2 linked regions of the Lytechinus pictus genome follow. The protein of the gene in region 1 interacts with the protein of each later gene in a pairwise test. Links are inferred from orthologs where the notes say so. Each region holds a gene or a part of one and is shown on either strand. Other genes may lie near its edges. The genes, in order: RCC1-like G exchanging factor-like protein and nucleoside diphosphate kinase 6-like.

Region 1 (13,022 bases):
CAAGTTAAAATATATTTGATATACCTTTCGTTATGATCCCCTGTTATCCGTTAAGAAATATGAAAGATGCATTTTCTCGACAAAGTTGGAAACGTAGATAAAACAAAATAGAAGTCACAAACATCTCAGATGGGTGTGCGATCTATCAGGGCATGATTGAAAATTTTTCGAGGGGTCAACAAGTTAAAATAGATTTGATATACCTTTCGTTATGATCCCTTGTTCTCCGTTAAGAAATATTAAATACGTCTTTTCTCGACGATGTTGGAAACGTAAATAAAACAGAATGGAAGTCACAAACATCTCAGATTGGTGTGCGATCTATCAGGACATGTTTTAAAATTGTTGTTAGGGGTCAACAAGACAAAATAGATTTGATATGCCTTTCGTTATGATCCCTTAATTGTTCTCCGTTAAGAAAATAATATCAAAGATGCATTTTCTCGACAAAGTTGGAAACGTCAATAAGACAAAATAGAAGTTGGTAGCCTTTCATATTTGCGATCTATCAGGACATCTTTTAAGATTGTTTGAAGTTGACAACAGGTTAAAATATATTCTATATGCATTTCGTTATGATACCTTGTTTTCCACAAAGCATAGGCGGATCGGGGGGCGAGGGACCCCCCCCCCCTCTTGGTCGAGCAAAAAAAAGATAGAAAAAAGGGAAAAGAGGAGGGAAAAGAGAGGAGAATAAAGTAGAGGAAGACGAGTGAATAAAATAAGATGAGGGAAAGACTTGGGAAAAAAAATCTTTCATGTCACTATACAATTTTCGCTCGCGCTTTGCCCTTGCAGCATTGCCTGTTAGGTGATTTTCATATCTTGTTCAATGAGTTTAGGTATCAAGTTTGGAAGTTAATTTACAAAACACATTTCACCTCGGAAATTGAACTTCATTATTTTGTGTGATTTACAAACTGATTTTTTAAAAGTGCTCTGTAAACATGTCAGTTTTATGGTCTGAATATTAATATTTTCTGTTCGTGCTGCGCGCTCGCGAATTTTGATTGGTACCTATCATTCTCGTGCATTCCATACATTTTCTAAATATCCCTTTTCGGGTCTGATTGTCAAATCGTATCAGGTTATACCGAGTATGTTTTACGTGACTGCTAAGAAAGCACGAATGCCTGTGAGCAAGCAATCAGGGGACCAACGGCTTAAGGTCCTCTCCGAGGGACCTGGTAATGAGGATAAATGCCTTACCAAAGGGCACTCGCGCACCACTTGGGAATCGAACCCGGTTCACCGGAATCCGAAACCCCCGCTCTACGACTGAGCTATCGCGCCTCAGCTAGCGCTGCACGCTCGCATTTTGATTGGCGATTTATGTATGTCTCAATATTGATTATACAACAAACTACTTGAAATCCCCTTTTCATGACAGTTTATCAAAAAAATTGGCTCACGGTTCGCGTTCGCATTAATGGTTAAATATATGCATCATATTTATAGTTACAAAGGTGCTTGAAATGTCCAGATTTCAGGCCATACTATCAGATTTCGCGCCCTCATTATGCATTAATGAATATTTAAGATATTTCGGGTGATTTCATGCAACGGTCTAGAGTGGGCCATAATGTGCCTGCACTGTACATCTATAGGTCCTTGGTTGAAGTCAACGACCCTATATAGCTATAAACACCCCTTGAACCTGAATTTGGTCAATTACGCCGTCTAGCACGTTTTGAGAACAATGGATGAAGGTGTGAAAATCACAAAGCAGCTAACAATAGGAAAAATCCGTTTCAATGTGAATGTGAAACCCTGAACATGCTGAATGCCTCATTGTCTGTATGTTACTGCTGTGTACTAGTAGGTCCATGGTTATAGATCAGTTGCGTGCATGTCTTCTCCAAGCCGATTCATAGCTTGTCGGTGGCTTTAATGCACGTAAAATACAAATATACATGTAACTCTCTGTCCCATTATAGGGCATTTTGAACGGAATCGCCGATGAGATAATTTTGACAAAACAAAAATGAATCACACTAATTATGCAGCAGCAATGTTTCTAAACATTACATGATCAAAGAAAAGACACGGGATGATATTTATTAAATTTGTTAATGGCAGCTGGTCTTTATGATAAAACCATAGGTCTATTTTACCTTTAAGACATGAGAAAAAAAAAAAAATCAATTATATAATTAATGTGTGTGTTTTACTTTTTACAAACGTGTATCAATCGAACATGCTGACTACATGAAGAGTGTCGAGGTCCATTACATGATTTATTGGTATTTACACCGAGTTATCAAATAATGGTACACGATTTTAGAAAAGAAGTTTTGAGTGTCATCTCGTGTACGTCAAATCTTAGCAAATGTTAAAAAGTTTCTGAAATGTCAATACTGTGAAAGTATATGCACTTCATTAAACGTGGACATCAGCAGGGTGGTCTCCATTAAAAGGATTTTTTTTTTTGCCCTGTCGATGTGTACCTCTCGATGTAAGGAGGCGATCGGAGCTGCACCCCTTCCATATTGTCAGTGAGAAAGGAAGAAAGTGATTACTCGAGATGGAGGGTGAAAAAGAGGAAGAGGATCTGTAATGGGAGGAAGAAACATAATAGAACGGTAGGGCCGGAAGGAGAGGTTGGCCATATAAAATTATGAAAACATTCAGGTCACTATTATCAAAATCAAGTTCAAGTTTATTTAATACAGGATAGATGCTAATCTACAAAATCCCCAAAAGAGAGAAAAGAGTTGATATAAGGTTAAGAATTCAGACTATAGAACGGAATACCATTTACAAACACAAAATAGGCTATGCACAAGCACTTCCACCCGTATGCAATACTTTAATGAGGGTCTTCATCCGTCCAATGACATGCAAAAAGTACAAAATTTCCCTTCGTGTACTTCTCTTCATTTTGTGAAGAGAAGTACATCCTTTTCCCCCAGTGATTAATTGATTACAGTGATTAATTTTATTATGTCACAATAAACCTAATTATGGCAATTTATGCACCCCCAAGAAATAGTGCTGAAGGCTCGGTCTATCTCTACACACAGACCACACACACTTCGCACAGTTCAGTCAAGGCGGTACCAAACGGCCGGTGCCAAATATACGGAAATTGTGAGGAGCGCTTTTCCTATAAAAGGAATTGATATGCATAATAAGGGCTTAAAACTTGACCAAAAAGTTTATCACCCCAAATTTGAGAATATGGACCCCGGATATGGACCCATGTTTAAGGCCAATATCTAAAAATTGGGGGCATGAACCCATGTATCTAAAAGCAAGTATCTAAAAATTGGGGCCATGCATGTTTAGGGATTTTCCAGCATAAAACCATACCCCATGTTTAGAGATACTATCACGTTTGAGCGAACACTGCCTATTGAAACAAAGGGTATGAAAATTATGCTGGGCTGGAATTAGCCTTCCATTTTTTGTCAGTTTTTGAGGGGCAAATTATTTGGCTTTGGAACTTGCAATGTTATGGGCGTTGTGATAAATTATTGATCAACCAGTTAGGAATGTTTAAGCAAGTTTTATGAATTATTAAATTGAACAAAAATTACACATCTTGGGCAACATTTCAACATTATCATGTGGCTCTCAGCAATGTGTTCATTGGAGTCAGGAAAATAGGGGGTGAGATTGGACGTAAGTGGGATAAGTAGGTTGATGGAAAAAGGGTCAACATAACATTTTAGCCCCCCTCCCTCTCTCTCGCACTCCCCTTCTGTTGAGTGACTGATTTTTATTGTCATGTACGCGTGAAGTCCAGAGCAGAATGTTAATTTAATTATAATGATAATTGGGGCATCAACTTTTTCCTATCAACAATTTATCAATAAATCAACTATTTCAATGGGCAATGTAATCAATCAAACATTCAGTTTTTCAATAAAGTATTTCATAAATTATAATCAAGTCAATTTCTTGGTAATCATTCAATAAAAAGAAAGAAAAAAAATGACTATCAGCCACCGGTCACTTCAGTGGCAAATAAGTTTTGAAAAGGCTACCCCCGGGAGGCTACCATCCAGGAAGTGAGAGGGGTCTGGAAAATTGAGGGGGGGGTGGAGATACATAAGAATTTTATTTGTAAAATGACAAAAAGATGATGAATGCCCTTTCAACCAAGTCTTACCATATCTCGCTTGTAACAGGTACCATCACATTACTCCGACTCACAAAACACACTGCTTAGGTCTACAAGATGAATAGGCTACACTAAATTTAAAATTCCTGTTCACTCAACCATCATTCTTACAAGTTTCAAAAATCATATTTGTTGGGGAAAATCCAGCATAAGTGTTACCTTCCCCTTAAAAATCCCAAACTTAGGATTTTTTTAAGAAGTCACCATGCAATCAAATTTTGCCTCATTGTGATGTCAACCATACGATAAATAGACATAAGGAGAAAAATTTGTCCTTAATTGACATCGTATACAATTATGTTACCTGGTTATTGATCATTCGTTCTCTGTATATGAGGTTCATGGGTCGAATCTCGAACCAACTGAAGAGAGTTGCAGCTCCGTAATTAGCTTGAAGTAGAAGTTCGCCTTGGTGAGAAACACTCATGAAACTGTTCAGTCTAGGACCTACCTTTAATTTTCAAATGAAATTCAATCTCGACAAACATGCCCCTTCCCCCACTGTCGTTCCATCACAATCGCCATAATCATAATCATAATCATTGTAATCATCAAAACTAGGATTATTATCATAATTAATCTCAGCACCTTCATCACTGTCATTATCACCGTCATCATCATAAAACATTAATCATCACCGCGGGCGGCGGAGCAGAGGATATATCCTTTGTTCATAGGGTGCATCATTATTGTCCCCCACAGCAAAATATTATCCTCTGATCATCACTATTATTGCTACCATAATCACCAATCTTGTCGTAATAAATATTCTCGTGATCAATTACGATCATTATACCATCATCATTATATCAACATTATAATTATTATCACCATTCTTGTCATTGCCATCATCGTTGGGATTACAATCATAATAAAGTCATTGGATTCAAATGGGCCCACGCAGGATTGCTTCGTAGCAAAATCGACCTGTCGTACTTAATACGCTCTCTAGTTCCGTCGGAGTTCCACTGAATAGGAACACTACGACATCTGGTTATGTATTCACTAGTTGGTCCAGGATTAGGACTAACATCGCCAGACTGAAGTATCTTGAGCTGAAATGTTGCAGACGAATTGTAGTAATAAGATACTCGAAGTTTTGAGTACTTACAGTGAATCTCCTTAGTTGGGTGTCCTGTATTGTATTCAATTTCACAAGGTAGACTTGCAGTTGACACTTGAAAAAACTTGAAAAGCACAGTGAGAGTGAATAGGCACAGTGTCAATGGCTCCATTGTGCTTCAAATGCAGGCATTCAATAGATAGAAACTGTCCGTTCAAGTTCAGCGACCTTGAATGGTGATAGCTGGACATATAATACACATGTACAAAATGGCTTACAGATTTACAAGCTCAAATCAAAACCATGTACAAGAACATCCAGTAATATCTCATCAATACAAGCAAGATACAGTTGCAAATTTGGCTACAAGTATCCTTGCAAATAACAAACCTATCTGGTACAATTATTAATGAGAAACAATACATGTAAACAGTAGAAATCATACACAGCTCAGAGAGCACAAAAAACCATGTCAGCCACGCAGGGCGACTTACAAAATCATATCAGATACGCAGTAGTGCGCGTCCTCATGACACGATCTGACCCATGCGGTCAAGCCTTTTATACTGTACGCAACTCGGTATTTAAGTGCGACTCTAAATCAATCTTAAATCTTTGTGAAACACCCCCTGGTGTGTATTCAATTAACTTAACACAAGAAAGGATCACCAGTTGATCATACATGTAAAGTCACTCGTAACTTACGAACAGCTTTATGAAATACTCATTGGGGCTTTGTCTTACAGAGAGTTGTGATAGGTACATGTAGGGCACTTCCATAAAATAATCAACCTTTTTGTACGTCCGACCCCCATTTTTCTCAAGTTTTACTTCACTTCATAGACTGACCATTGTCATGGTCATTTGAGAGCATTACATACTATCAAAAGAACAAGAAATCAGAGACAGAGAATTTCATGAAAGTCCCACATATATACATATTTTATGGAATTGCCCTGTAGGTTTAAATCAAACTCAAAGTGTGATAGATCTAAAAATCCTATCACTTAATTACACAAATTAATTTAGATCAATTGCAGCAATTCAGGTTTGATTCAAATTTATTGTTATATGGCAGCTCTTTGTAAGATGGACCCCAAAATTTGTATATTTTTATCTGTTTTAATATATCAGAAGACACAAGGTTCTTGATTTTGGCTTTTGAAGGGTTTGGGGTTCAGGTGGGTGTTTCAAAAAGCTGTTCGTAAGTTAAGAGCAACTTTAAGAACGACTGGTGATCCTTTCTTGTGGTAAATGGTATATTTATTGGCGATGGTTTAGCGTGTAAGAAATGTTCACCAGTCGTTCTTAAAGTCGCTCTTAACTTACGAACACTGTTGAACAGCTTTATGAGACAGCCCCCAGGATTATATTAGGATCAGGATCATGATTAGGGTTAGGTTTACGGTTAGGATTTGGTTTTATGTGTACGAGCAAGTGTCTGGAGCAAATGTCTTATGTCATGGGATCTTACCTTTCTAAAACTTTATGAAACAACACAAAATATTACAATTACTACTCATGTCTATTTTATATTGTTTTATAATAATATACATTTTGGTTTAGAGTTACTTTGAATATGAAAAAATATATGTATATGAATGATCTTATCTTTATGCCTCCATGCTCCGCCACAATTGACACTTGTCAGTGAAAAGGACCTGCAGCTTGCTTCTTATGAACCAAATTCCACCAATCAGGGAATGATTTTCCCAGTTATCACATTGGAATCAATGTGCTCCACATGTTTTAAAGATTAACAGAAAAAAATATTTGTGTAGCAGATTTTTTTTCCCACAGGACTACAGAACGTTGTTGAGAGCTTTTGTATTTTGACCAGAAATACTGATCAAATTACATGTAGATAGGCAAATTATTCTCTGCCAATCTAGAATTGTTTCACATTTCTTGTGGAGTATTATATTGTAATTTATCTCATCGCAATGGACTTTTGCGTATTTGATTTTTTTTTAACGTCATCTTTTTCCTCTCTTGGGCAGATCACAACAGCATCTTGTGGGTATGGGTTTTCACTGATTGGCAGCCATACACAGGACACCAGTAAGGTCTGGGGTATGGGCATCAATACAAACTCGCAGATTGGATATCATCCCAAAGCTATGACAAGTGGTAAGAAGAAAAATAAAACTATTCAGAAATGGGGAGTTATCCAATATTTTCGCATGATGACATTAGCAGACATGCCAACCGTTCCCTTTTTAGAGTATTTGTTCCTTTTTTTTGTTGCTATAAATACACCAATACCTTTTTTGTATGATTTGTTACTTTTTTTCAAAATTTCTGATCATGGAGTATGTATTATACACAGCGTGTGACACTAGCGCCGGTTCGACAGTCCCAGACCAGGTAAAAATCACTGTCAGGCCAGTAACTTGTTGCCTGAAAAGAACAAGTTAATCCTTGCCTATGAGCACATGTTTATTGGGTGAAAGGGAGGTACGATAATACGCCAGTGGCGGACTGTACCAGACTGGAAGAAGAATTATGAAGAATTTTTCAAGTAGAGTCATTTCATATGTTTTTTCACCGATCTCACTACAACAGGCTGGCGATTGTTACGTTGAGACAAATTTTTAAAAATACTCTTTTTTTGTCAAAAAATACCTTTTTTCCTTATAAGAATACTTTTTTTGGTTGTAGAAGGTTGGCAAGTCTGCATTAGCCCATATTCTGAATACAGTTTTAACTTTAATTTAAACTATGATCTAAAAGTTGCGGTTTAACTATAGTATGGATAGCCAATTGAAATGAAACTGTTACATGAAATTATCTTTGAATTTCAGCCCCAGGTATGGCAGTTTCCCAGTGATTTATACATTTCCCGCCCAGGTGGGAAATACTGGGGAAAAACTTGTAAATGCTTGGAAGTACTCATTAAAGATGTACATGGAGTACCTGAAAATACATGAAAATATTCAAGAGGCATATTTTATAGTATATCCATGCATTTCCCATTTTCCTTGTACATGTAATTTTTGAGCTAGTATTTACTAGTGATTAACTACTGTTTCCTACTTGGGCCAACTCTTTTCTGCCCTCTAAATTTGTATTCCGTGTCAAGTGTTTGAATCCCACCGCAGCTTGGCATCCTTTGGCAAGGCATTAATCCACACTTTGCCGCTCTCGACCCAGGTGCTAAATGGGTACCCGGTAGGATGAGAAAGTCACTGTAGCTTGTCCAGTACTGTGTGCGCTTCACTGGTGACTGACTGGAATACTCCCCAAGGAGTGGAGGATGTGCATACATTGTGTACGGGAATGACCGATTGAATCCGATGACCGGGGTAATATATATGTAAAGCGCTTAGACACGTTGTTCCGATGTATTAAGCGCTATATAAAAGCGGATTATTTTTATTATTCTCTTTTTTTGTTGCACCTGCTTATTTGCTAGTTGAGGGAATGCATACCATCATATCACCAACTGAAATCACATTACCTCTGAAGAAGCCACGGAAGACCAGAGTTTCTCAGGTATCCTGTGGTAGATCTCACTCCCTTATACTTACAGATGAAGAAGGTGGTAAGTACAGAAATAAATAATTTCACGTAATGCATATGATCTTAGGTGCTAGGTCAGCTACATAGGGACCCAAGGGGGGGCACTCAAAGTTATTTTTGCTGGGGGTGTGTGCCTCACGAAAAATCTGAAATTTGAAATGGGGGTCTAAGGAACTGACTAAATGGGTAAAGTATGGGGTCTTGGGGTATCAAGAGAACTGAAAATTAGGTCTGAAAAAGGTGGTCATCAAAGCGGCAGGTCCCCTTACCACCAATATATGTGAGTGCCCCCCCCCCCCCCCCGGGCATGGGGATATATTAATATTATTAATGCTTCAGTGACATTTCCCCCAAGGCGGCCGTATGGCTAGTCGAACACAGCTGTTTTACTATACAAATAATGAATATTCATTCATGCAATGGACAGAATACTTTATGAGGTGAAAGATGAAATAAGATGAAATTGATCATTCATTTTATCTTTCACCTCATGAAGTATTCTGTCCATTGCATGAATAAATTCATTGTTTTATATTGCACCTAAAATAGATCCTTGTCATTTGGCATTTATAAATTTGAATTCAGTGCGAATGCGGTCTGTTGATTGCCGCATACATACAAACACACTTACTATAAGACCGAAAAGTTTACGTGTAGGCCACTGCCAGTGGTCAGTGTTGCACGCGCGTTCAATGGAAAAGTCGTATGGATCCAAAATTGCATGGATGATGACGTCATTGTAAAATGGCCTGAATGATCAACATCAAACAACCAATCAAAGGACAAGGATCTATCCAGGTGTCATATAATCATTTTTATTCAAACCACGTATATGTAGCTGATACAAAAAATGTTAAAATGGCTGTTTTTTACTCGCAATACGGCCGCCATAGGGGAAACGTGACTGCGCCATAGCCTAAGTACAAGAAAGGGTCATCAGTCTCATGTAAAAGCCATGCGTATAACTTACAAACAGCTTTATGAAACTTATGTTTATGTGGGAGATATCATTTGCTTATCTTCACGGATGAAGAAGGTTGTCAGTACATGAATAAAGATTTCCGAAGAATAGCATAAGGACAATATAGTATGTTGGAAATAAAGAAGAACATATGATTTTGTTATTTTGCAAATTTCAATGCATTGTCAAGTGATCATGGTTTTAGCACTTGTGTTTTTATTTGGATTGACTTTCCTTTTCTATTTGCAGTATACAGTCTTGGCAATAATTCTCATGGTCAGTGTGGAAGGCCCATTATACCCCATGAAGATTATAGGTAAACGCTAACATCACATGTGTTTCATAAAGCTGATCTTTAGTTACAAACAGTTTAATGAATGACTGGCATAAGAAATGCCAAATATAAAATTTGAATACAGAGTCACACCCGCTTTCATCTGTTATACAAGGACCACTTCTCTTTAAAGGAATGGTCCAGGCTGAAAATATTTATATCTCAAAAAATAGAGTAAAATTCACAGAGCAAAATGCTGAAAATTTGATCAAAATTGGATGACAAATAACAAAGTTATAGAATTTTAAAGATTTGCGTTATTCCCGTGAAACATTTCTAGGCATGTCTTTATGAATATTCATTAGGTGGGCTGATGATGTCATATCCCCACTTGTTCTTTTGTATTTTATTATATGAAATTAGGTTTATTCAAAATTTTTCTACCAAGAACTAAAACAATTGGATTGACAACTGATTAAGTGCATTAATAGTTATTTATTGCCGCACTTATTTCATCATAATGGAGACACATCATTTACACATGTATGAAAAATGAAACATTTATGATTTCATGTAATAACATGAGAAAAAGGAAAGTGGGGATGTGACATCATCAGCCTACCTAATGAATATTCATGACGATGTGCATATAACTGCTTTCACAAAATATTGAAAGAAATTATAATTCAATAACTTCTTTATTGTTATCCGATTTTGATGAAATTTTTAGCATTCTGCTCTGTGAATTTTACTCTATTTATTGAGATATGAATATTTTCAGCCCGGACCATCCCTTTAAAGACCGCAAGTTTGGTATTCCTAGAATACTGGTAGTACTCTGCAGTGAAACATGTATTAAATGAACCTTTGTATAAAGACCACCTGCTTATATATAAACTCCTCAAATTTTTTTTGGAAATCTGACTTTGATCGATAACCCCTCCTCGATTTTAGTGAATATTCATGTGTTGCATATAGATCATTTAATTTTCTTTAAAATGATACATGATATGATTATGGTTCACACGAAGGTGCAGTGCCTTGAAATGTGGGGCAAGGTCAAAATTCAAAAGTTGCAAAATTATACAATATTGAAAGTCACTGTTCTTTTTTCTGTGGTGATGAGCAAGTTTCTCAGCGGTTTCTTTTGTTTTCATGCACCTTAACATCAGCATTAACATGGAATCAAACACACCTCTGCACACATGGCACAAGGAAACACATAACAATCAAATGTGCATGGGTATCTCAAACCATGACTCAAACCATGTTATCTCACAGAACCATCACAACATAAACCACAACTAAACATAAAAAATGAAGAAGTAGGGGCTTGATTTGAATGGATTTTCATCTTTATTGACACAGACAAAAGAATCATGTTCTTTATTGACCCTTCATAACCATTTCTACTCGTTTTGCTGCTTTTCAATTCAGACCTCATCCAACACTTTTGAATCCTGCTCTTTTTGTGATGGCATGATCATAACAAGTATGGTATCATTTTAAAGAATATTAAATGATCTTTTGAATGATATCAAATTTGCATTGTGTAAAATTTGGAGTTGGGAGAAATTAATGGCCAAACTCAGAATTTTTTAAGGGTTTACATTTCTCCCTTATGAAGTGAAGTATATTATACAGATTTCACTGAATTTCACATCATTCCATTTTAATTGTGACAGAACATACACTAGCTGTAAGAATCTTCAACATCTATATAACTTCAACTAATGTAAGAATGATTGAGAACCCCTATGGCTTTCCATATTCTAGCCACTGTAGAATATTTTGTTATGATTCTGTCTGCAGGAATGATTCTGTCTGTGGCGGGCAAAGAGATAACTCTTTGCCCGCCACAGACAGAATCATTCCTGCGCCACATTAATTTCAAGGTGTAACCCTGGCGGGGTTTTGCGTGAGCTGTGCTAATTCAGCTCACAATAGCTTTTGATCGGTCTATTAGTAAAAGATTTGTGTGTACACTGCGATGAACACACCACTTTTGTGTATGTGTGTACGAACAACAGACTTAATGCACTCTGTGTGCATTGTGAATCGAATGTGACTTGTGTCGAACTTGGCAGTCTGCTGTACTAGTTGAACAAAGTGGGCAAAGAATTAATGTGCAGCTTTTAGAAACAGCCCCCTAATACAATTTATTTAGTGTATAACAATTTTAACATTGTCAATAGTTATCATGAATGATCAATATCAAATTATGAAAATGATGATGATCATAAATTTATTAATTTGTATGCTCTTCACCTTTTTATTGTGTCATATCTTTGATTAAAGGACAAGTCCACCGCAACAAACAGTTGATTTGAATATAATGACAAAAATCTAACAAGCACAACACTGAAAATTTCATCAAAATCGGATGTAAAATAGGAAAGTTATGACATTTTTAAGTTTTGCTTAATTTCTCAAAATAGTTATATTCACATCCCGGTCAGTATGCAAATGAGGGCACTGATGACATCACTCACTCACTACCGGGTTTTTCTTTTGTATTTTTATTATATGAAATATGAAATATTCTCATTTTCTACTCATTGTCCTGTGAAACAAAGTTTTATTTTGCCCTGAACATGTGGAATTACCATTGTTTAACATTTTATGGTTCAGTCAAGTTGATCCTTATTGTCAAATCTGTAAAAATTGAAATATTGTATAATTCAAACAATAAAAACAAAAGAAATAGTGAATGAGGGACGTCATTGATTCTCTCATTTGCATGTGACAGAATTGTGCATATAACTATTTTGTGAAAAATAAGCGAAACTTTTAAATGTCATAACTTTCTTATTTCACATCTGATTTTTATGACATTTTCAGCATTATGCTTGTCTGATTTTTTTCTATCAATTCAAATCAAAAATTTTCTGAGGTGGACTTGACCTTTAAGCAGTTGTTGCATTGTGACTTTGACCAATTGCCTACTGGTAACTGATTGCCCTGAATACCAGAATCCAGTAGTCAACAGATTTACTGTTTAAATGCCCTTAAGCATAGTTGTGCATTTGGTTTTAGATATATTGCTTGCTCTCTATCAATTAGTCAATGAATCAAT
Region 2 (13,185 bases), on another chromosome or scaffold:
GCTGTTTTGGGAAAAACTGTTGTCTATTAATTGACACGATAGGCCTACCCCGAGAGGGGGCAGTATACCCTGACGTAAAGTTTATGATAATTAAAGCAGAAACTAGAAAAAAATATTCTTAAAGGTTTGCTGAAAATATATTTTTTAATTGCCACGCATTTTGGTTAAGAAGTTCGCTATTCTCTAATCAAATATTTCCATTCTCACACTTTAATTAGTGTTTATTATATCAAATTGTATTCTACTCATTAATGTACTGAATGACTTGCTAAGATCAATTGTAATGTCACTTTCACCTGCCCAGTAACCTGCACAATCAAGGTACTAATGGATAATTTGTTTTTCTGTTCCAATCATGAAGAAGCGAAAACGAAAATCAGCCCCTTAGTTTGGGGTTTTTGAAAACACAAAAACGAAATCACAACGAGAATAACGTGTTGTGATTTGGTTTTTGTATATCAAAAAACAGAAAAATTAAATTAGAAAAACTTTTGTGCTTTATCTGATTTCTCATTCTAAATTTGTGTTTTTATATATATATAAAAAAAACAATATCAGAACATGCCACGACTCGTGACCTCACTATGTCAACTAAGTATATGTATGATGCAACTGCATGAAAAACAGCGCCTATAGAATTGTGGGATGTCGCCTAGCAACAGGATACTATGTTAGTGGTAATTAAACTACATGTAAATCGATGTAAAATATTGATATTTACAGATGAATCAAACATGACCAAGCAATATCATTTTGGTTATATATCCTAAATATAATGCTAATCAAATAAAGCTAATTTCTTACCCTCCAGAAACTATTGAACGAAACTGACAAGGTAACAAATGTCACTTAAACACAACAGTCATATCATTTCGTCTTCAAGAAATATAATTTTACAAACAAAGAAGTTTATGAAGCATGATCTGATTATTGAATCAAGAATTATGTAAATCTCAAATATAGAGAAAAAAAAATATCCACGCAAATCATGTTCGATAAACGATCAAGCAGGGCACTGGGAACGATTTTTAGTAGGGGGTGCTGTGGGTTTTGTTTGAAAAAAATGGCAAAAAAGAAGAAAAAATATTACACTCCAAGATGATTGGGATTTTGGTAAAAATTATTGCTCCCTAATAAAAAAGAATTACAATCGATTATAGACCTATAATTTTATGTTCCCATCAATTCAAAGAACACAACGGTTCAAGGAAAACGTCAATTATACTAAAATCATTTAAAATGCATTATTATCCTTTGTAATGGATCAAATTTAACAAGGAAAGTTAAGTTTTGAACAAGATGCCCCCCCCCCTCTCTCACTCCTACACGTCAGCAGTGTTTAAAAACATAACCTTTTCGTGTCGATATATATCAACAAAATTCATCTCGAACTTCGATTGCATTCGCATCCTATTTTCAAGTGTGAAAAAAATCAGCTCGCGCTCCTCTTTCATATCCTGTTCATGCGTCACTGTAAAGTCCTTTTCCCATTTTCAGTTCAGTAATTAAAATATTAAGTAAACGTTTGTTGTTTAGGGTTAATAAGAGCTTGGTGTGCTCCATTCATAGCTTTTAACACATGGATTATAATTTTTTTTTTTTCACAGTTAGCGTTCTCGTTTAGTTCGGCCGTATAGTCATGGTAGGCCTATCTTGTTGGTAAATATTAAAGTAAAATGTACATAAACTTCCATATCACAACGCCCCCCCCCCAAAAAAAAAAAAACACTTACCTTTTCCTCTTTGAGTGGCCGACCAGGGATTTCATGAATGGCAATGTGTCCAACCGGCCTGTACGGCTGTACCCCCGCCCCTTTAAAAATACTGAACCCGTACTTCTGTGTATATTTTTTTCTGACCAGACAGACATATGCGCCACCAACTGTCTTCTCAAATTTGCCCCCCTCCCCCCGCTACGAAATCTCGGATCTGGGGGACACATTAAACTCCTGAAATAAAATATCACAGATAAGGAAATAGTAGAATAATTCGTGCATGAAAATAAATTATAAGAACACATTGAGACACTTTTCCGAAATTATTAAATCTTTTAATAAAATCGGGGGCGAGGGTGTATGAATTAGTAAATAAATGAATACCATATAGGCGAAGAAAAAAATGCAATATTTAGATGGTGAATTAATGAAATGACGATCGATCAATAAATGTTTTTTTTTAATAATTTGTTGATGCGATATGCCGTTATTTCAGGCCTACTACCATGTATACCAGCAAACAATCGAAATCCATCATTTTTAAAACCATGCTATCAAATACAATTACAAACAATCTTCAAGTGGATTTATTAAAATGAAAGCAGGATGAGAAAATAATTTAAGTTGATAGGTTAATTAGCTGAAGAAATACTGGAATATCAATGAACGGTATTAGTAAGCTTTAAAAAAAAATAAAAGATTAATAAATTGATATTTAGGTAAAAGAGAAAACGTACTTAACGTACTTAGATAATATAGATAATGATAGGCCTATCCCCAATTGTGGGGGCCGGGGGGGGGATAAGTCTCAGTAAAATATAGATTAAGTTAATTTTAGCGTAGATATCCCTCAAGCAATAATAAAATTGACCAAAAGAAAATTAATACATTTTTCCCGAATGAATATGCCTATTCGTTTTCTTTTCTGAACTTAAATGGATGAAAAGTGGGGAAGCGGGGGGGGGGGGGGGATTTATGAAAGGAATGAAAAAATACAAATTGATAATACGCAGGAAGCCAGATGAATGATTCAATATTGAATAAGAGAAAAAAGCCGATTTGAAAAAAATGTATATTGACTTCTTACATCCAGGTGATTATAAATAGATTATGATACATGAATGAATAAATGGATTCATTCGCAGCATTACGTCAAGTGAAAGGTTGGGGGAAATTATACAAGAGCTATATAATTTAATCATTAATGACACCTCTCTCCCCGCAAAAAAATAATTCAAATGAAATGCTGAATAAAACGAGGTTATCAAATAACTAGCAAATACAAATTACGATGGATAATGGAACAAAAATAACAACATAATATAGGCCTAACGTTACATCGAAAACACTCCAAAAAAATTAGCAAATGAATGAATCATTCACGGATTTATCAAAAGTTATTCAGAGAGCAGATCTTTAAAAGAAAATATTAGCAACACGAGGGCGGCGTCAGGTTGTGAGGGGCCTGGTTGATTTTTCTCTGAAAACTGGAAGGATAACATGCCTAAAACAAGTCGCCCATATGGATCCTACTCCATTGTCATGCAGAGTTTTAATACTCACTTCTTTATTATTCCCCTTGTTTTTTTTTATAAATTGGAGCCCCCCGGGCCCCGTACAGCGCCGCGCATGATATCACTCACCGAGGAATCAAGACCCACGACCACGCTATTTTCCATGATATAACAAGTGTAAGGGGCCTCGATAACGAGTATACTATAGCCGTCATCCGAGCCCCACACACGGCGAATGCTTGGACAAGCGCATTGGACATCACAAAAAAACTGAAAACAAATAAATTAAATGATTAATGAATAAATATACATATAAATACATTAATTAATCAATATGAATACATTAATTAATCAATTATAATAGATTGAAATAAGTGAACTTCCACACATAAAATAATTAAAAACGAATGATACCTCTTACTCTCTCTATCACAAAAGAAAAAAAAACTGAAAACAAATAAAATAAATGATTAATTAAGCAATTAAAATAGATTGAAATAAATGATACCTCTGACTCTCTATATCACAAAAGAAAAATAAACCGAAAACAAATAAATCAAATGAATAAGATACATTGATTAATCAATATAAATAGATTGATAAATAGATTAATAATATTGTATTAATATATAAGTAAATCGACAAATAAATTTCTGAAGAAGTAAATACATACACATTTTATTAGTATCTCTCCTTGTTTATTTTGAAAATAAATTGGAGGCCCTCCCCCCCCCCACCCCCCCCCCCCCCACTCCAGCGCCGCCCATGATAATTCTCACCGGCCGGGGAAACAAGCCCCACGACCACGTTATTTTCCATGATATAACAGTGCAAGGGGCCTCGATAACGAATATACTAATAGCCGTCATCCGAGCCCCACGCACGTGCGAATGCTGGGAAAAGCGCATTGGACGGGGCCAGTTTCGCGATTATCTTAGGATGCAAGCTTAATAATATACTCGTGATATAGGCCCCGCTACTGTTTTGGAGTGCCTGAAGTGCCGTAGTGCGGGGCCTATATAACGATTATAGTATTATACTCGTGAAACAGGCCCCGCGAACGGACATTCTGAGCCATTCAACACAGCAGCGGGGCCTATATCACGAGTATATATAGTGAGCTGAAGTTAGCAACCTAGATATTGAGGTATGATCGATTACAAGTTTTTCTCGAGCGGGGCCTATATCACGAGTATGCCAAACATTCTTATCTTTTTCTCATCTTGCTTTCCATCGTATGCTGAGGCCTGAGCGCGTAAATTTATTACTCGCGCATAAAAATTAAAATACAAAAAAGTCAAAAGCACGCTAAAAAAGATAAGTGGTATTCTGAAAACGTTCTTATCTTATCTTTCACGATATTTATGATATTTAAGATAGCTTGAGGGTTATCACATCTCACGATCATGACGATGTTCGCATTCTTTCTTGCTCAAAATAGATCATGGCTACTGGTACTAATGAGTATTCTTTCCACCCTTTCTTTCATCCACCCTTTATTTTGTTTTTCACCCTTTTTTCTATCTTTTTTTCTTTATTTATTTTCACTTTTTCTTCCTTTCTATCTGTCTGTCTATCTTCCTTTCTTTCATTCTTCATTACCAGTATATCTTTTGCTTTATTCTTTTGAATTTTTTAATCTCAACCTTATTTTTATATTGCTTTGTTTCATTTATTCTTCATCTTCCTTTTTTATTTTCACTCTTTTGTTTTTTTCCTTTCTTTTTTTTCTTTACTAAGTCTTTATTTTTGCTTCCCCCCCCCCCCTTTTCTGTTTCTTTCTTTTTTCCCCTTTTTCTTTCTTCCTTCACTATTTTTTGTAATTTTTCTTCTTTATTTATTTTCTTTCATTCATTCTTTCGTCTTAATTTGTTTTCCCCATTTTATTCATTTCATTTTTTTCTTTCTTCCCTTAATTTTTGTTTCACCTACATAGCAGTGTGAGACTATAGGCGCCGCTTTTCCGACGGCGGCGGCGGCAGCATAACTTAGAAAGTATATGGACCTAGTTCATGAAACTTGGCCATAAGGTTAATCAAGTATTACTGAACATCTGCCTGAGTTTCATGTCACATGACCAAGGTCAAAGGTCATTTAGGGTCAATGAACTTAGACCATGTTGGGGGAATCAACATCAAAATCTTAACCTAAGGTTAAGTTTTTGAAATGTCATCATAACTTAAAAAATATATGGACCTAATTCATGAAACTTGGACATAAGGTTAATCAAGTATCACTGAACATCCTGCATGAGTTTCATGTCACATGACCAAGGTCAAAGGTCATTTAGGGTCAATGAACTTTGGCCGAATTGGGGGTATCTGTGAATTACTATCATAACTTTGAAAGTTTATGGATCTGATTCATGAAACTTGGACATTATAGTAATCAAGTATCACTGAACATCCTGTGCAAGTTTCAGGTCACATGATTAAGGTCAAACTCAAAGGTCATTTAAGGACGTTCCACAGTTATGTTTGTGCGCATTATGATCTGCGCATAGTTTACACTCTGCGCGCTGACGTCACAATGGATGAACAGGTGATTAATTAGCTGCGGGTATGTGCTGATTTTTCTCATCTTCTGCACTTTAACTGCAGATCCGATGCGTTATTTCATGAAGCTAAAGAATGGAATTATTCCATGGACCATTCAAAAAAGAGATTCTCTACAATTTCAAAATACTTTACTCTGCAGTGCTGCCAAGAATTACGAATATTACCCCGAGTTTGAATAAATGGTAGAGTGGTTTTGATTTTTTCTTCACATAGATACAAAGCATTTGGCGCATTTTTGGTGTTTTAAAAAGCACATTTGCTCTAATAAAATACTGATAGTTTAAAAACAAGCACATGAACCCCTATTTTTTAATGTTTGTTCCTCTTAGGTATACCTTCCTCTACAACTCTACAAATTTTGGTTAAAATGACATGGATTTTGAATAAAGTGCAGCCTTTTTGTACTTTTGTAGTTTGTTACTGAAATTTCACATTTTTTAGATTGGGATTTTGTTATCTTTTACGCCATTTTTAAGAACTGACAGTGCTGTTAAACTTAAAATTGCAAACAAATAGCACTATAAGTATATTCTCCATTCTAGCGATACAATTATTAACTCTCTTGCGAAATTTGATGACTTTTTCATGTATTTTTACTGAGTAATACAGGTTTAAACTCATTGTAGTAATCTTGGGCGGTCTAAAAATGCCAAATTCTTTTGAATGCGCAATTCTTAAGAACATCAATTTGGGTGAACTTTGAAGTTCTATAGCAAAAAATCAAGCACATGGACCTATGCTAATTTTTGCATATTTCGAATATTAAGGTTCTAAAGTATTTATGTGCAAAGTTTGGTGAAAATGACATGGATTTCACTTTAACTGTGGAACGTCCTTAAGGTCAATGAGCTTTGGCCAAATTGGGATTATTTGTTGAATTACCATCATAACTTTGAAAGTTTATGGATCTGATTCATGAAACTTGGACATAAGAGTAATTAAGTATCACTGAACATCCTGTGCGCGTTTCAGGTCACATGATCAAGGTCAAAGGTCATGTAAGGTCAATGAACTTTGGCCATGTTGGGGGTATTTGTTGAATTACCATCATATCTCTGTAAGTGTATTGGTCTAGTTCATAAAACATGGACATACATGTAAGAGTAATCAAGTATCACTGAACACCGTGTGCAAGTTAAAGTAGTTTTCAAAGTCAGCACTGCTGCTATATTGAATCGCGTGATGCAGGTGAGACCGCCAGAGGCATTCCACTTGTTAAATCTTTTTGTTTCATTATTTTTCTTTTAATATTTTTTCTTTATATTTTTGGGTTCTTTATTTTCGTTCATTTGTTCTTTCATTTTTTTAATGCTTTCTGTCACTTTTGTGTCTTTCTTTCTTTCTTCTTTTTTAAAATAATTTTTCGCTCATTTTTTTTTCGTTCATACTTTATTTACTCTTTCTTTACTTTCTGTCTTCTCTCCGTCTTTCTTCTATTAATTTCTTTAAAAAAAAATTCTTTATTCCCTCCATTAATTTTTCTTCGTTTCTTTTTTGTTTTTTGATTCATTCTTCATTTTTCCTGCCTTTTTATTTTCCCTTTTCGTTCTTTTTCTTTCTTTCTTTGAATTAACCTTTCTTTCGATTTCTTTTAGTCTTTATTTTTGCTTTAATTTCTCTTTCATCTTTTCTCTCTTATCTTTTTCTTTCTTTCTTTTTCTCTTTCTTTGTTTATTTTCCTTTTTTCTCTCTTCCTTCACCTTTTACATTTTTTTTTCCTTCCTTTTCTCTTTTTTTCTTTATTTTACTCGTTTTTTCTGGTTTTTTGTTCGGTTCTTTATTCCTTCATTTTTATATCCTTTTAATTTTTTTTTTGTCTTTTTTTTTGTTTTTTTCCTTTAAGTTTCTTTCTTAATAATAATAATAATAGGCATTTATATAGCGCCATCTATCTAGAAATATTCTATTCCGAGGCGCACAAGAAAAGAAAGAAAGTTTGGATGAGTGTCAAAGTGCCAATAACTAATACTGTTAGAAAAGATAAGACTTCAGTTTAGATTTGAAGGTCTCCAGTGATGGTATCATTCTTTATGTAACGGCAAATTATTCCAGAGAGAAGGTGCTGAGGCAGAGAAAGCTCGCGCATCATATGCTACACGTGTCTTGGGAGTCTTAAGAAGTTGCTGGTGTGATGATCTTAGGCTACGAGCTGGTGTATAAGGCATGACAAGCCTTTTCTTTCTTTAGTTTTACCTTCATTTTTTTACCTTCATTTTTTATTGCTCACTTTATCGTTGATAATAGTTCTATTTCTCCTCCTTTTTATTGTCTCGTCTGCATAGCAGAGCGAGACTATAGGCGCCGCTTTTCCGACGGCGGCGGCGATGGCCGCATCGTCAACATTGAAATCTTAACCAAGGTTAAGTTTTTGAAACGTCATCGTAACTTAGAAAGTATATGGACCTAGTTCATGAAACTTGGACATAAGGGTCATGAAGTATTACTGAACATCCTGTCTGAGTTTCTGGTCACATGACCAAGGTCAAAGGTCATTTAGGGTCAATGAACTTAGACCATGTTGGGGGAATCAATATCGAAATCTTAAACAAGGTTAAGTTTTTGAAATGTTGTCATAACTTCAAAAGTATATGGACCTAGTTCATAAAACTTATACATAAGGGTAATAGTGTATCACTGAATATCCTGCCTGAGTTTTGCATCACATGATTAAGGTCAAAGGTCACTTAGGGTCAACAAACTTTGGCCATGTTGAGGTTATTTGAGGAATTGTCATAACTTTAAAAGTTTATTGATCTAGTTCATGAAACTTGGACATAAGAGCAACCATGTACCCCTGAATATAATGTGCGAGTTTCAGGTCACATGACCAAGGTCAAAGGTCACTAAGGGTCTGGCACTGTGCTGTGCTGTACACATAATATCTTTCTATATCTTCGAGGTGGGATCACCAAATTCATACAAGAGGTCCATCTCCTGAAGGCACAGGTCAAGTTCGAATATGAGTCAAATTTGAATAAGGTCAAAGGTCAATGAACTTTCCATGATTGGCACTGTGCTGTGTTGTACACACAATAACTTTCTATAGCTTTGAGGTGAGATCGCCAAATTCATAACAGACGTCCATCTCTTGAAGGTACAGGTCAAGTCCGAATTTGAATAAGGTCAAAGGTCAATGAACTTTCCATGACTGGCACTGTGCTGTGTTGTACACACAATAACTTTCTATAGCTTTGAGGTGAGATCGCCAAATTCATAACAGACGTCCATCTCTTGAAGGTACAGGTCAAGTCCGAATTTGAATAAGGTCAAAGGTCAATGAACTTTCCATGACTGGCACTGTGCTGTGTTGTACACACAATAACTTTCTATAGCTTCGAGGTGAGATCACCAAATTCATACCAGAGGTCCATCTCCTGAAGGCACAGGTCAAGTTTGAATATGAGTCGAATTTGAATAAGGTCAAAGGTCAATGAACTTTCCATGACTGGCACTGTGCTGTGCTGTACACACAATAACTTTCTATATCTTCGAGTTAGGATTGCCAAATTCATACAAGAGGTCCATCTTTTGAAGGTGCAGGTCAAGTTCAAATGTGAGTTGAATTTGATTAAGGTCAAAGGTCAACGAACTTTCCATGACTGGCACTGCTGTGTTGTACACATAATAACTTTTTATATCTTCGAGGTAGGATTGCCAAATTCAAACAAGAGGTCCATCTCTTCAAGGTGCAGGTCAAGTTCGAATGTGAGTGGAAATTGATTAAGGTCAAAGGTCAATGAACTTTCCATGACTGGCACTGCTGTGTTGTACACACAATAACTTTCTATAGCTTCGAGGTGGGATCGCCAAACTCGTAACAGACGTCCATCTAAGTCATATAGCATACATGTAGTTTTGACATGCAGTCTCTTCATGACTGCAATATGCAGGCGAGACAACGCTTGGCTTTTGCCTTGTTTGTTTTCCCCTTTCTCTTAAACTCTTTCTTCTTTTTCCCCTTCCCCCTTTTTTATCTCTTTCCTCTTTTCTTTTCCTTTTTTTCGCTTCCTTTTTTTTTGGCTTGTGACTCGTCAGGGGGGCATTCTCCCCCCCTTAGGTACACTAGTGATACCATAGTCTCTGAAGAAATCTACACAACTGAGGTGAAACCAAAAAATGTTACAACAATTAGACTGATGAACCCAAATACAGTGGCGCCGCATCCGAAGTGGGCTGTTGCAAATTCAAGATTTTGTTATAGAAATATCCTTACCATATTTTGCATAGAAACGCACTCACTCATCCCACACACTGATAGACACAGAGAGCATTCAAATAAATTGGATATTCTTCCAAGTTCTTTTCCTCTGTACTTTTCTCACAGCTCTTTTTACTTTCAATTTCTCCTATCGTTCCTCTTGAACCCCCCGCCCTCTCTCTCCTTCTCTGTTCTCTTTAATTATGTTAACATTTTATTCCTAAATAAGTTTGCTTCTTTTTTTTCTTCTTGATTTTTTTCTACTTCTTTTCTCTAGGTGAACTCGGCGCTTCTATTAATTTATTTTCCTTCCCTTTTACGGCCATTTTTAATTATCATTTACCTCATCTACCATTTTTTCTTCATCTGGATTTCAGAGACATAACTATAACATGCAGGACTGTTTATAAAACATTGTCTGGTTTTAGAAAAGTATTCATCCTTTTATTTGGAGTGTCAGTTTCAAAAATTGATTGAATAAACTAATTAAAGTGATGAATAAAAACAAAGGAGACAAAATGAAACAAAGCAAAACAAAAATGGTGAATAATGTCAACGACTTAAATGATAGTAATAATAATAATGATGATAAAAACAACAATAATAATATATTACTACTACTACTACGACTACTACTACAACAACAACTACTACTACTACGACTTCTAATTCTACTACTGCTGCAGCTGCTGATATCATGATAACAAAAATAGTAACAACAACAATAAAAAAATGGGTTTTAGGACAACTCCCCGAGAGGACTACTCCTCCGGAAGGCGACCCACCCTTGACAACTCCCCAATGAAAACTCTCCCGAGGACAGGCTTCCCGGAGGAAAACTGATTTAAACCGGCACTTCTATTTGAGTGACAAATTAATGTACCTTCTTTTCTCTAGAACTTTCACCTTGTTGTTATTCTGTTTAAATGAAAAAAAAAATGCTAAGATAGGATTGCCCATAATGAAGGTTCAATGTTCCAGGTGTATGCATTTTCATAATATTACCAGTTTTCTTGTTAAACGTTAAATGCACAAGATTATGAAGCAGAATTACCATAAAAATAAACGTTAAATGAGTAGAGTTAATGATTAAGTAGTGTCAGTGAAATAAGGCATCATAAGTTTGTACTGTAAGTAGCGGAAACACCCCTCCCTGCACCCCCCCCTAGAGAGACGTTTCGTGCGCGCAGTACGTGTTTCGCACGATTCGCGTGGTCACCGCCCCTAAATGAAATCCTAGCAACGCCACTGATTCTAAATTAGTTAACAGGAATTATTTGCCCCCCCCCCCCCCCCCCCCGATACAGGCACCTGTTACGCTGCTGCAACGAGGCGTCTTAAACCACTCGACCTCGGCAACCGATGAAGGGGAAAAAAAAAAATCGGTCTCGCGGGCCTTCGGTCTCACGGACCCTCGGTCTCGCGGAACTTCGGTCATGTGGTCGGACCCCCTCTAAACATGTACAGTATACATTCACTAACTCACTCCCACACTACAAAATCATCCAGCGACATGGGCAAAATCTCGAATAAAAAGTGAAATTTTCTTACTAAATCACCATATCTCGCGTCAAAAATATCACCATCGGTACTTCTCAACATCAAAAAGGGGGGAAAATACTGTGATTGATTTAAAAAACCATGAAATAAAACATTGGTAACCTATATTTTTCATTGTTTGAACTGATGATCAGTAACATCACAAAATAGTGTATAATTTAAGGAAATATGGGCCTTCGATTTTTAAATAATATTTCTTTTATGTAGACCTCGTAAAATGTTTAAACTCTAGACAAAACATAGGCCCGAATTAGGGGACGTTAGTACCCATGCGAGCTCGCACTAATGTTACTGGCCTACCGTCGGTGAATAGAGATGACAGTGAATAAATTCCAGAAACGACTGTAATTCCTGTCTAGGTTTCGTGAGGCACACCCCCATCAAAATATAATTCGAGTGCCCACCCCTGGGGTTTTATTTATTTGCTGGCTTTTCACTGCCACGCGAAAATTTCAACAATTCAAGTTTCGAAAACAGTCAACAAATTTAGACATCATTCTGTGTTGAACCCCTATTAAAGTGAGAAAAGAATGTGGCGATTGGCGAAACCTGAAATGAGCTGTCAAAATCTTCGACCTATCAACAGATTTGAGCTCATTTTGGAACGATTACGTTGGATTTTGAAGCTACGTTTGGTATAAAAATCTGGCTGAAATCCAGCTGTTTACGATGCCGCCGCACCACGGAGGGGGAAATGTAGAGCATTCTTCCGCCCTGCCATACTGTATCACGGAAGCGATATCAGCAGCAACGCATTGAAAATGGGGCCAAAACACACATACAAATTTTGAGCACATCCGCGCGAGTGCATCTAGCGCTCATTGTCGATTGTTGATCGGTGTACGCTTGTGGCAAATCAGACTTATTTTGTTTTTTTTAGAAGAAGGGGGGGGGGGTACTACAATATATAGGTGCCTCTTGCATAGTCAAGGATAGATTTACAGTTGGAATAACTGACCAGAAAGCAAGTTAATTACGATTTTTTTTTTTTTTCTTTAATGCAGATAATAAAGCAGATAATTCTTCAGAATGGGTTTCTTGTTGTTTGCTCGAAGAGGTTGCAGTGGTCGAAATCAGATGCAGCAAGATTCTATGCTGAACATGAAGGTATGTATATATGTGTAGGGCAGAGTACTTTAATACTCATAGTCTGATTGGTTTTCAACATATTGGGGCATTGTGGCTCAGTGGATCACTTGGTTCAAATACCAGCCATGGCATAATTTCCTTCAGCAAGAACTTGATCCACATTGTGCTGTGCTCGACTCTGGTTTGAGAAATAGATACCTTGCTGGAATTAACGTTATTCCTAGAAACACTTAACTCATTTGTAGCTCGGCCAGGGCCAGGGTAATTATGCTGTGCACATTTATTGCAGAACACATAGGCCCGAATTCACAAAGGTGGTTTTGAAAACCATGCAGATTTCCTGTATAAATTACGCTTTTTACCACGTATACTGAAAAGTGTCCAATACTGATGCATGCTTTTGTCACAGTGCGCCAAATTGAAGCCCGTTGCCATGGTTAAGTACGCTACTTTATTCATGAACCCTTAGTTTGAAGAGTGGACTCGTTGATTCAAAACAGTGGATTTTTGAATAAAATAGCGTACTTCACCATGGCAACAGGCATCAATTT

Evidence for each region.
Region 2: the proteins of RCC1-like G exchanging factor-like protein (region 1) and nucleoside diphosphate kinase 6-like interact in binary tests that used the Homo sapiens proteins (3 or more experiments, as listed by UniProt). The link is inferred for Lytechinus pictus from reciprocal best matches to the Homo sapiens genes RCC1L and NME6.

What each region holds. Positions count from the first base shown.
Region 1 is NC_087245.1:39,114,232-39,127,253, reverse strand, and holds the start of RCC1-like G exchanging factor-like protein, read left to right. Parts: upstream 1-7,188; 5' UTR 7,189-7,264; coding exon 7,265-7,319; intron 7,320-8,604; coding exon 8,605-8,733; intron 8,734-9,921; coding exon 9,922-9,988; intron 9,989-13,022. UniProt on the Homo sapiens protein: Guanine nucleotide exchange factor (GEF) for mitochondrial dynamin-related GTPase OPA1. Activates OPA1, by exchanging bound GDP for free GTP, and drives OPA1 and MFN1-dependent mitochondrial fusion. Plays an essential role in mitochondrial ribosome biogenesis.
Region 2 is NC_087261.1:7,006,940-7,020,124, forward strand, and holds the start of nucleoside diphosphate kinase 6-like, read left to right. Parts: upstream 1-6,969; coding exon 6,970-6,975; intron 6,976-12,549; coding exon 12,550-12,652; intron 12,653-13,185. UniProt on the Homo sapiens protein: Major role in the synthesis of nucleoside triphosphates other than ATP. The ATP gamma phosphate is transferred to the NDP beta phosphate via a ping-pong mechanism, using a phosphorylated active-site intermediate. Inhibitor of p53-induced apoptosis.